Canis lupus familiaris: one gene and its partners. The protein of the gene in region 3 purifies or fractionates together with the protein of the main gene of each other region. This does not show direct contact. Links are inferred from orthologs where the notes say so. Each region holds a gene or a part of one and is shown on either strand. Other genes may lie near its edges.

Region 1 (2,864 bases), on a different chromosome or scaffold from region 3:
CAAGCCTCGTATCTCTCTAAACGCTTGCCCTTTAAACTTGGTCTGAGGTCACCTAATGTGTCCTCTCTCCTATAAGCTGTGGGAGGTGGGGTGGGGAGGGGGAGCTGTGGCAAGGGTCCAGGGCTTCCTGCCCCAGGAGGTCACTCAGCAGAGCTTTCACCCTCAGAGCCTGCAAAGCAGGACTTGTCCTCGGGGGAAAAGCCAGTCCCTGCCAAGGTTGCAAAGCCGCTCAGCCCTGGAGTCAGGCCAGAGCAGGGCAGGTAGGTGCCAGCACTTCGTCATGAGCAAACTCACCCTCGGTTTTCCCTCTTCTGAAGTGAAAGGAGAGGAACCAGGTAGACCGGTCAACTCTAATTTTCTTTGCCCGCAAAACGGGTTCCTCAGATGCAGCTAACACAGGCAGAGGCTTCCAGGCTGTCTAGACTTCAGATCACCTGATGTGCCTGGCAGGATGTGGCTCAGCCTGGGAGAAATCATCACCCTGGCCTGCCCTGCCCAGCCCCTCCTCACCTCCAGGCCTCCCGCCTGATGACATCCTTGGGAAAGGCCCCCAGCACACAGCACCTGTCAGCTGCTGTCTGAAGGAGGTGGTGGTGGGGGAAGGGGGGGAAGACTCAGCCAGAACTGAACACAGAGAAATAATAACACTTCTATATACCAGCTTCTATATACCAGCTGCTTCTCTGCCTGTTACCTACGTTAACTCAGTTAATCCTCACATCTGTCCTCTGAGACATTCACTATTACTGTCTCCATTTTACAGATGAGGCAAATAGAGTTGAGAGAAGTTAAGCTATTTGTGCAGGGTCACCCAGCGGAGCCTGGATTCCAACCTAGGCAGTCCTGCTCCAGAGCCCTCACTCTTAACTACAGGATAGAGCCTCCACCTCTGTTCTATTGCCTTGCTAGAAGGGACTCCCTGACCAATTGCTTGAGCATGCTTGCACAGCCCCATTTTTTTATAGATGAGAAAATTGAGGCCCAGAGACATTAAGTGACTTTATTTTTTTAATCTTTAACATTTTTAAGTGACTTATTTTTAACAGATTTTATTTATTTATTAGAGAGAGAGAGAGTTGTGCACAAGCCGAGGAAGAGGCAGAGAGAGGGGGAGAAGCAGACTCCCTGTGGAGGAGGGAGCCCAATGCAGGGCTCCATCCCTCAGGATCATGACCTGAGCCAAAGTCAGACACTTAAACAACTGAGCCACCCAGGCACCCCTTTAAGTGACTTTAAAGTTTATGTAATACGCAGCAGAGCTAGGAATAGATCCTAGGTGGGGTTTTTTTTTTTTTTTTCTTTTTATCCCAAAACCCTGGGGGTACTTTTGAATTTCAGAACAGAATTATCCCACATGGGTATCTTGGTAGAGGGATTCAGGAGGCCAGAGTTGCTGTCAGCCTGCCCTTTCATTTGGGACCTGACCTTTTGGTCCGGGCTGGGGTTGGGAAACTACTGGACTCTGGTAATTCACACCCATGAAGGACACCTCGAGGGGGAAACTCATTGATTTTAGTTGATAATACTGGTGGTAAACAGGACTCCGATCCTGCTAATGCAATAAACTTGTCTTTGTTGACAGAACCTGTCCTTCAGCTGCCCACTCCCCCAGTGACCTTGGGGTGCCAGGATGGCTGAGTTCTGGCCCCATCCGGGGGCTGTGGACTGGGGGCTGGGAGTGGCCTGTGGGGAGGAGATGGTGGAGAATCAGCTGGAAGGACTCAGAGACCTCGTGTTCTAGTAGGAAGCTCCCCTCTGAGCTTGCACAGGAAGCCCGGCCTGCTAGGGCAGGGTGCCATTCCCCAAGTGACCGGGGGCCTTGTGTCTCAGCTGCAGGTGCCATGTCGGAGCCGTCCAGGGACGCCCTGCCCATCCCTCATGGCAGCAAGGCTTGCCGCCGCCTCTTCGGCCCCGTGGACAGCGAGCAGCTGCGCCGGGACTGTGACGCGCTGATGGCCAGCTGTGTGCAAGAGGCCCGGGAGCGATGGAACTTTGACTTCGTCACCGAGACGCCGCTGGAAGGCAACTTTGCCTGGGAGCGCGTGCGGGGCCTGGGCCTGTCCAAGGTCTCCCTGCCTGCGGGGCCCCGGGGGGGCCGGGATGACCTGGGAGGGGGCAAGCGGCCCGGCACCTCGCCTGCCCTGCTGCAGGGGACAGCTCAGGAGGACCACCTGGACCTGTCGCTGACCTGCACCCTCCTGCCTCACTCCCCTGAGCGGCCTGAGGCATCCCCGGGTGTGCCTGGCACCTCTCAGGGCCGAAAACGGCGGCAGACCAGCATGACAGGTGAGGATGGGTGTGGGGAAGGACACTGCAGGGGACTCTCAGAATCCGTGGTGCAGGGGCTGGCCTGTCGGGTTCAGCTGGCTCATCAGGCCCAGAGGGAAACAGGCCAGAGAGAGGAAGTCACTCGGCAGGTCTACAGCCAAGACCAGCTAGCTAACATTTATTGGGAACATTTATTATAGGCCAAGCCCCTTGCTAAGGTGAATTTCTAAGACGGTTTCTTTTTGCTTCCTTCCTTTTTTTTTTTTTTTTTTAAAGATTTATTTATTTGAGAGAGTCAAAGAATGCGAACGGGGGTGGGGGGGTTGAGGGGTGGAGTGGCAGAGGGAGAGGGAGAAGCAGACTCCCATCCATCTTCCTTATTTTTTTCTTTGGCATATGGTTTGTTTGCTTGCTTGATTTTACTATCAACAGCTACTTCCTTATCTTAAGATTGTCTATGTCCCTCATGAAGTGATTATCTCCACGAGAAAGGGATCTGCATCTTTCTTGTTCATTGCTGAATCCCCAGCACCTAGGACAGTGTCTGGCATATAGTAGGTGCTTGATAAAAAAAAAAAAAATCAATGAGCAAGGCT
Region 2 (3,500 bases), on a different chromosome or scaffold from region 3:
ATATGTCCACATTGTGTGTGAATATCTTACACATTACTGACACAAAAATCACAAAAGAGAAGGCAGTAATACACAGCACGTCTTCCTATACAGGTATTCACAAAGGATATATGTGTCCATCGGATCTTATTAATGTCATTAAAATCTTTGCACAGAATCAACAACAGGAAACCTGGACATTTATTGTTTTTGAATGTGATTTTATAACTGACTTTCAGTGGGGACTGTGGAATGGACTTCACACCCTCTTTTGGGGGATCCATTATGTATTCTTCCAAAACAACAACAACAACAACAAAGACAACCTTGAAGGCGAAGATGTAGTTTCCCTAAGGTAGCTGGTAAGACTCTCTGCTTACCATCTCTGCCAGCGAACTACAGAATCGCTGCAGTCATCATGAAGGCACTCACCAGGGTGACAATGGCACATTCAGCTGTCAGCTGAGCAGCACTGAACAGTGTCCGAACAAACCGGTAAATCTGTTTCTGCTCGGGGTTGTGTTTGTCATAATCTGGTGGCACTTCGGATTTCTGGGGAAGGAAAGAGTTTCAGATGACTGGCCACCCAATAAAAACAAAAGAGAAATAATTAAACAACATCAGGAGGAGATTACCGAAAGAGGGTGAAGGTTTTCATCAAAAATATCTAAGAGCATCCTTCCATCTGGGTCCCTGGTGGGGAAAATAAGAGACAATAGAGTTTACTTTCTGCAAGAATGCCATTCAAAATAAGATAAAAATATATTTTGATTTGACATATTTCAAGAAACTAAAGTCAATGTTAAATGTAGGAGATGCTATTGGTTATCCACAAGTAATTTTCTTATGTATAATATTTAACCATTTTTGTCTGAACAGTCTATGAAACAAAGGTTATAAACCACATTTAGTTGAATTAACCTAAGCAAAAATACTGAGATTTTCATTTTCTGAGTATTCAAATGAACCAAATCTAAGCAAGTGACAAACTTCTTTAAACATTTTGCTTCTCAGCAAAGGTGGATGGATATACTTAAACCATCCCTATACAGTAGTTGAATGGAAAGAAGTTTGATAAAAATGAACATTCAGGATGTTCTAGAAAGTAATTTGGAGTTTTCAGAACATACAACTTAAACACTTTGTTAATTAAGAGTTTCACAATTTTATATTGAAAAACAAGAGATGATGTGTAGAAAAGCTTAACTCAGTAACCCATAAACCTATAAAAGAATGGTTGGTTGCTACTAGGCCAGAAAATGTCATTTAACGTGGTGACAGTACCTTGAGTTTGGTTGGGCTCTACAGAGACGAACTGCACACTTCACCAGCAAAGCTCTGCTTTCATCTGTTTTATGTCATTTGACTTCTGCCTAAAAATGGTTCTTTAAAAACCAAATTTGGAAACTGGTGCTTTGGTAACAGCATATAAATTCCATAGTCTGTGCTTCCAAAGTCTATTAGGCTTGTGAATATCAGAAGGGTATAGACCTGTCCCTAACATATACCTTTCATAGTAAACACCACAATTTCTGCTCTATAAATTTACTGCCTGCATAAAAATAATATAGAAAAAAGAGCTTAAGGGGATCCTTGGGTGGCTCAGCGGTTTAGCGCCTGCCTTTGGCCCAGGGCACGATCCTGGAGTCCCAGGATCGAGTCCCGCTTCGGGCTCCTGGCATGGAGCCTGTTTCTCCCTCTGCCTGTATCTCTGCCTCTCTCTATATATATGTCTATCATGAATAAAAAAATAAATAAATCTTTTTAAAAAAAAGAAAAAAAAGCTTAATTGAACAGCTAAGTTTTTATTACTCTATTTATACAACAGGAATTATTTTTAAAGCTTTGGGCATTCATACCTGTGTTCATTTTCACTAGCCTATGGGAATACAGCCAATAAAGCTTTAGATGAGCTGTAGTAAAAGAAAGGACTAGGCAGGACCTGATAACAGGGTCTGAAAACAAAGCTCCTTCTGGGTGCACTCAGTTATACTTCCTTTTATAATGACCTGGTTATGAAGAACCAGTTGGTTCTCATCTCACTAACAACCTCTGCAAGATATTCGAGGTGCTGTGTAAAAGACAAAACCTGGCCCTGCACCCCATTTTCTTGGGCAGTTCAGCCCTGATCAATATTCCTGATGAATAACAGACCCTTAAAAGCCATTCAGCATTCTAGAGAAATACTCACCAGAAGTAAGTTTAAAAATAAAAACAGGATGAAAAATATAAAATGAGGATTAAGAATTTAAGCTAAAATGACTCTGGAAGAAAACTGACTCCTCTGAGAAATGAATTTTCCTTTCACTTTCATTGAAAGCTATGTATCCCAGGGCACCTGGGTGGCACAGTTAGTTAAGCATCCTACTCTTGGTTTCAGCTCAGATCATGATGTCAGGGTCCTGGGATCGAGCCCCACTTTGGGCTCCACACTCAGCATGGAGTTTGCTTGAGATTCTCTCTCCTTCTCCTGCCCCTCCCACTAGTTTTCTCTCTCCCTCAAATAAATACACAAATATTTAAAATATAATAAAAGGAAAGAAAGCTATGTATCCCAGAGGCACCAAGGTGGCTCAGTTAGTCAAGCGTCCAACTCTCAAGTTTGGCTCAGGTCATGATCTCAGGATTGTGAGATCAAGCCCCATGTCAGGCTCTGCACTGGGTATGGAGCCTGCTTCAAATTCTCTCTCTCTCTCTCCCCAACACCCCCACCCCTGTGCAAGCCCTTGAAAGCAAGCAAGCAAGCGAGCAAGCAAGCAAGCTGGCTAGCTATGTATCCCAGCTGAGTAGCAGCCTCTCTATCAAGCTACTGTATCTATCACCAGCTCCAGAAGTGAGGCCAGTATGACTGATTGAGAAGAAAATCTACAGGGTCATGCCACTTCTTCCCAAAGATCTTCAGGTTATAATCTGTGGATTTATCATGCTTGTTTCTAAACACTTGCTTTTTTAGTTGGATGTTCTCCACTTCTTCTCACTAACTTTTGGTCAATTTATCACCATTAACCCACTAGATTATATGATTAAAAGTCTCAGTATATTGTTTGGGTTCAATCCTCAATTCCCCAGTTCATTAGCTGTGCTATCTTAGGCAAATTATTTAATATCCCTGTGCCTCAGTTTCTTTACCTCTAAAATAAAGATAACGTATCACCTCATGGTACTGTTTTTAAAAATAAATGAGATAATGCATATAAATAGCTGATCAGGGTAGTCAGTGCTTAATAAAGCTGGCTCTTATTATTACCAGTTATGGCTACAAAATAACTTTGAGATCCACTGCAGTCTAAGAACTGAGAAATCACTTAGAGATGCTAATGCAAAATTGGTCTGAAAGAACATCTGAGTTTCACTAATGGTATTACGTTGTTATTTAAGACTTAAATTTTTAAAAGTTTGAACTGTTATCTGAGAAATGGGCAGCAAGACAAAAATTTGCACTTTCACTGATACACTATTCTGGTCAAGGTTCAAAGTTCCACAATGCTACATTTTCTAAATTCTTAAATCTAAATTCTCAA
Region 3 (4,121 bases):
AGCCGTGGCTGCACCACGTTTTAATAGAATGAAGACGAGGTGTGTTTGCTGCCTGAACTGTTTGTTCTGGGATTTTCATAAAGCCTCTCTCACCCCCACCCCCCTCCTTTTTAAAATTTATTTTTTGAGGTGGGGGAAGAGGAGGTCAGAATCTTTTCGGCCTCTAAGTCTTCCAGTTTGGAAATATATTCTAAAATTGGTGAGGGGACGAAGGACTTTCTGTTTGCTATGGACTATGGCCCTGGGTTTTCATATCAGAAATTGGCTGCATGCACGTTCCCATCAGCCGCGCAGACTGGCACGGGGGCGAAGAAGGCCGCATCCGCCCTGCCTCGGGGGGTTGCAGTCGACGCTTGGACGTTGGCGCTTGACTCCCCTTAAAAAAACGGCCCACTTTTCCCTTTGCATCTTTCACTTCACAGCCTTCTTGGCAAACTGGGGGGGGGGGGGAGTCCCCGCCCAACCCGAGTGGTCCCCAGGCCTTTCCATCCCCGTGACCCAGAGGCAGCGGTGGCGGCCACCCCCGCCCCCCAACGCCTCGCTCATTCCACGCGCGTTCGTGGCGAGGGGGAAACCACTCCCGCAAGCGGCCCTGTGGGCGGGGGCCTCCCCGCGGCGTGGGCCCGTGAGCCCGAGCGCCCAGTCGGCTCGCAGCCCTGCGCGTTCGAGGCCCTCGGCCGGCCGGGAGCTGGAGCGCGCGGGCGGGCGGGGCGCGGCGGGGCGGGGCGGGGCGGGGCGGGGCGGCCGGGGGGCCGGGAGGGGGCGCGCGGGGGCGGGGAGGGGGCGCGCGGGGGCGCGAGCCGGGCGGGGAGGGGGCGGGCGGGGAAGCCGCCGCCGACGCGGGCTCGGAGCCGCGGGCCGAGGTCCCGTTGGGGTCCGGCGCTCGGGGTCCCCTGTCCCCTGCCCGGGAGGGGCGGGGCGGGGCGCTGCGGGCGGCGGCTCCGCGCCGCGCGGCTCTTTCTCGCCGAAGCCCGAAAGTCGGGGCTGAGAACTTCTCCCCGCCCGGGCCCCGCGCCCTCGGCGACCCCCGCCTCCCGCACCCCGTTCCCGGCCGGCCCCGCCCCGCCCCGCCCCGCCCCCGGCCGCGCCGCCCCCACTGCCGGCCTCCGACCGCGCGGCTCTCGGTTACAAAGGAGGGAAAATGAGGCGGGCGGCGCGGCGCGGGGGCCCCGGCACCACGTAGAACGCCCCCGCCCGGCCGGCCGCGGCCCAGGCCCGCTCCGAGCCTGCAGCCCGCGGCCGCCCGAGCCGGAGCCCGAGCCCGAGCCCGAGCCCGAGGAGGAGGCGGAGGCGGAGGCGGAGGCGGGGGCGGGGGCGGGGGCGGAGGCGCCGCCTTCTCCTCGCCGCGTGCCCTCGCCGTTGTCTGCGCTCCGCTCTGGACCAGTCTGGGGAAGTTGGCGGAGCCCCGCGTCGCCCAGATGTGCGACCTCATTGAGCCGCAGCCGGCCGAGAAGGTCGGCAAGATGAAGAAGTTGCGGAGAACTTTGTCGGAGAGTTTCAGCCGCCTGGGTGAGTGGCGCGCAGCCCCGGGCCGCCGGCGGTGGCCTCGGGCGCCGGCTCCTCCTCCCCGCGCTCCGGGCGCCTCCGCTGCGGCCGCGGCCGAGGGTGCGCTGCGAGCGGGCGGGCGGTGGGGCGAGCCGGGCTCGGACCCGCGGCGGGGGCGGGGCGCAGGGGGCGCAGGGGGCGCAGGGGGCGCAGCCCTCTCCCTCCGGGTCCGGGGGCCCGTTTGGGGGGGACCGTAAGCCTCCGATTGGGTCCCCTCTCCTCGCCCCTAGCGCTCGGGCTTTCGCGCCCGCGGCGGGCAGGCGACGGGACGCCCCGGGCCCCGCTGCGCTCCCGGCTGCGCGCCCGCCTAGGTCACTTGCTATTTTTTTTTTTTTTTTTTCTTGCGCGCAGGCTTTGCTCTGAGGTGTTTAGTCAATAATTCAGCTTTGGAAACTGGTGAAACGTTGAGCCGTGCCTTGGTATTGTTTAACCCATCCAAGCTAAAGGGAAGTGGGACAGCTACCTTGGGACCTTTTGTTCGGTACTTCGGGTCCTCGAAAGCGAGATTTGGCAGTTCCGTCCCGAGCTCTCCGGGTCTTTCCATTGCAGCAAATAAAATGCGCGCTGTGAACTTCTCGGAACATTTAGGAAAAAGTCTCCCGAACTTCTTACATTTGCTACGTCTCCGGAGCTATTGTCTTTCAACCAACCAACCGATCTACAAATAAAAACCGACTGAGAAATGTTTAGGATATTTAAGAATAAATCCATGTCACAGACCATCACAGGGTGACAACTCTATTATGCGGAATGGGTTTGTTAGCCTTTTAGGGTTGGCCATAGAAAACCCCTTTCAACCTGAAGACGGTAGCTGCTCTTTTCTAACGTTATAACTTACATTTATATAGGTAACTGTTTTCAGGAGGAAAATCATACAAGCACTAAAAATAACCCCTCAGATTCCCTAAGAAACCTTCTAGCCTTTGTTTCACTTGTTTAACATGTCATCCATGTTAATGAAGGTGTTAATGGAAATTAAGCATAAGGTACTTAATTCCTTAAAATAAACCCTTGGGGTGCATTTGAGTATTGTAGTCATCCTTCCATCCCTTCCTTTAAAAAATCATTATATAAGTGCACTCTAAAATATGCAAACTTTGTTCAAGTAAGAGAAAATATAGATTAAAAATTTAGCCTCGTTTTCTTTGTTGTCTTTTACTTAAAATTTCCTATTGGTATACAAAATCTTTCCCCAAATGACTATAAAGTTATGGTGTATGGTGACTATAAAGTATTTAATCCTGGTTTTACTTATTACATGTATTGGATATTTGCAGTTTCACTTTTACTTAGTGATGCAAATGAAGTTTGAAGCCAAGGAGAATGTGAGTGAGAGCAAGGTGTGTTGAGTTGGTGTACATTTTTAAGGAGGTTGTTCGGTGGGGACCCAAACCATCACAGAGGTAGCAGGTTCTGGAGTCCATTAAGTCTTGTTCTAAAACACATTAACTGTATATTTACTAATGCTAATGACTCTGTTGGAGCCCTTCCAGTTTTGTGTTAAATAATTCATTGCACTTGAATCTCAGTAAGAAACCAAAGACATTAATTTAAAAATTCCTTATGTTTAAGCAAATTCAAGATTTTGATCGACAATCAGTAAAATTTGTATTAACTACAATGCCGCCAAATGGGGTATTACAGTTAATTGGATTTCCTAGCTTACCGAGACTTAGTGATGTGAAACTCCTTTTGATTCCAACACTTGTTAAAATATCTAGTAGATTTTACTTCCTCCTTCTCAGAAACAGTAGAGTGCAGTGGACATAACCGATTATTTCTTGTATTGATAGAGGGTCATGATTCTGAATAGTGACTCTCATTCTGGAATACTGTAAAAGGAGATGAAGAGATTGTATGTGGTTATGCTTGTATAGCAAACCCAAGGCATATAGCAAGTGGGATTACAGAAAAATGAATCTTTGTTTTCTATGTGTTTTCTTAATGATTTATTTGCAAAATTAAAAAGCAATAAAATCAGTTCGATGATGTAAAGATGTTAAGGTACTCGAGGCTGCTGAATTGAGTTTTTATTTTTATTTTTAAAAATATTTTATTTATTTATTTATTCATTTATTTATTTATTTATTCATGAGAGACAGAGAGAGAGGGAGAGAGAGAGACACACACAGGCAGAGGGAGAAGCAGGCTCCATGCAGGGAGCCTGATGTGGGACTCGATCCCGGGACTCCAGGATCAGCAGGTGGTCAACCCCTGAGCCACCCAGGGATCCCCTGAAGTGAGTTTTTAATACGGAATTATATAGTGAATAGATTAAGGGTGTGGGCTGTGTGTGTCAGACCACTGGGGATTTCCCATCTTGCCACTTGTAGCTATGTGACCTTGGACAGGTCCCTCAACTTTTGAGCTTCAGTTTTTCACGTACAACTCAGTTTTGTTATTGGCACTTGGTGGAATAATGCATATCATGTCCTGTATGGTATGTAGGGCAGACTCAGTAGATGTTCATAATGTGTTATTATCATTATTGGTGATCACATCATATTGACATAATTGATCTTCTAGGTGGGAAGAAAGAGAAGGGAAGTGGCTACTGACTTTACAGTATAAAAACT

The links.
Region 1: the proteins of CDK14 (region 3) and CDKN1A purify together in Homo sapiens (affinity purification with mass spectrometry; 3 studies listed by BioGRID and IntAct, counting the BioPlex papers as one, with this or other methods). This does not show direct contact. The link is inferred for Canis lupus familiaris from reciprocal best matches to the Homo sapiens genes CDK14 and CDKN1A.
Region 2: the proteins of CDK14 (region 3) and CCNY purify together in Homo sapiens (affinity purification with western blotting; 3 studies listed by BioGRID and IntAct, with this or other methods). This does not show direct contact. The link is inferred for Canis lupus familiaris from reciprocal best matches to the Homo sapiens genes CDK14 and CCNY.

The regions. Positions count from the first base shown.
Region 1 is NC_049233.1:5,931,229-5,934,092, forward strand, and holds part of CDKN1A (cyclin-dependent kinase inhibitor 1), read left to right. Parts: intron 1-1,830; 5' UTR 1,831-1,841; coding exon 1,842-2,286; intron 2,287-2,864. UniProt on the Homo sapiens protein: Plays an important role in controlling cell cycle progression and DNA damage-induced G2 arrest. Involved in p53/TP53 mediated inhibition of cellular proliferation in response to DNA damage.
Region 2 is NC_049223.1:1,649,626-1,653,125, forward strand, and holds part of CCNY (cyclin-Y), read right to left. Parts: intron 673-3,500; coding exon 615-672; intron 532-614; coding exon 412-531; intron 1-411. UniProt on the Homo sapiens protein: Positive regulatory subunit of the cyclin-dependent kinases CDK14/PFTK1 and CDK16.
Region 3 is NC_049235.1:16,409,649-16,413,769, forward strand, and holds the start of CDK14 (cyclin-dependent kinase 14), read left to right. Parts: upstream 1-1,321; 5' UTR 1,322-1,418; coding exon 1,419-1,509; intron 1,510-4,121. UniProt on the Homo sapiens protein: Serine/threonine-protein kinase involved in the control of the eukaryotic cell cycle, whose activity is controlled by an associated cyclin.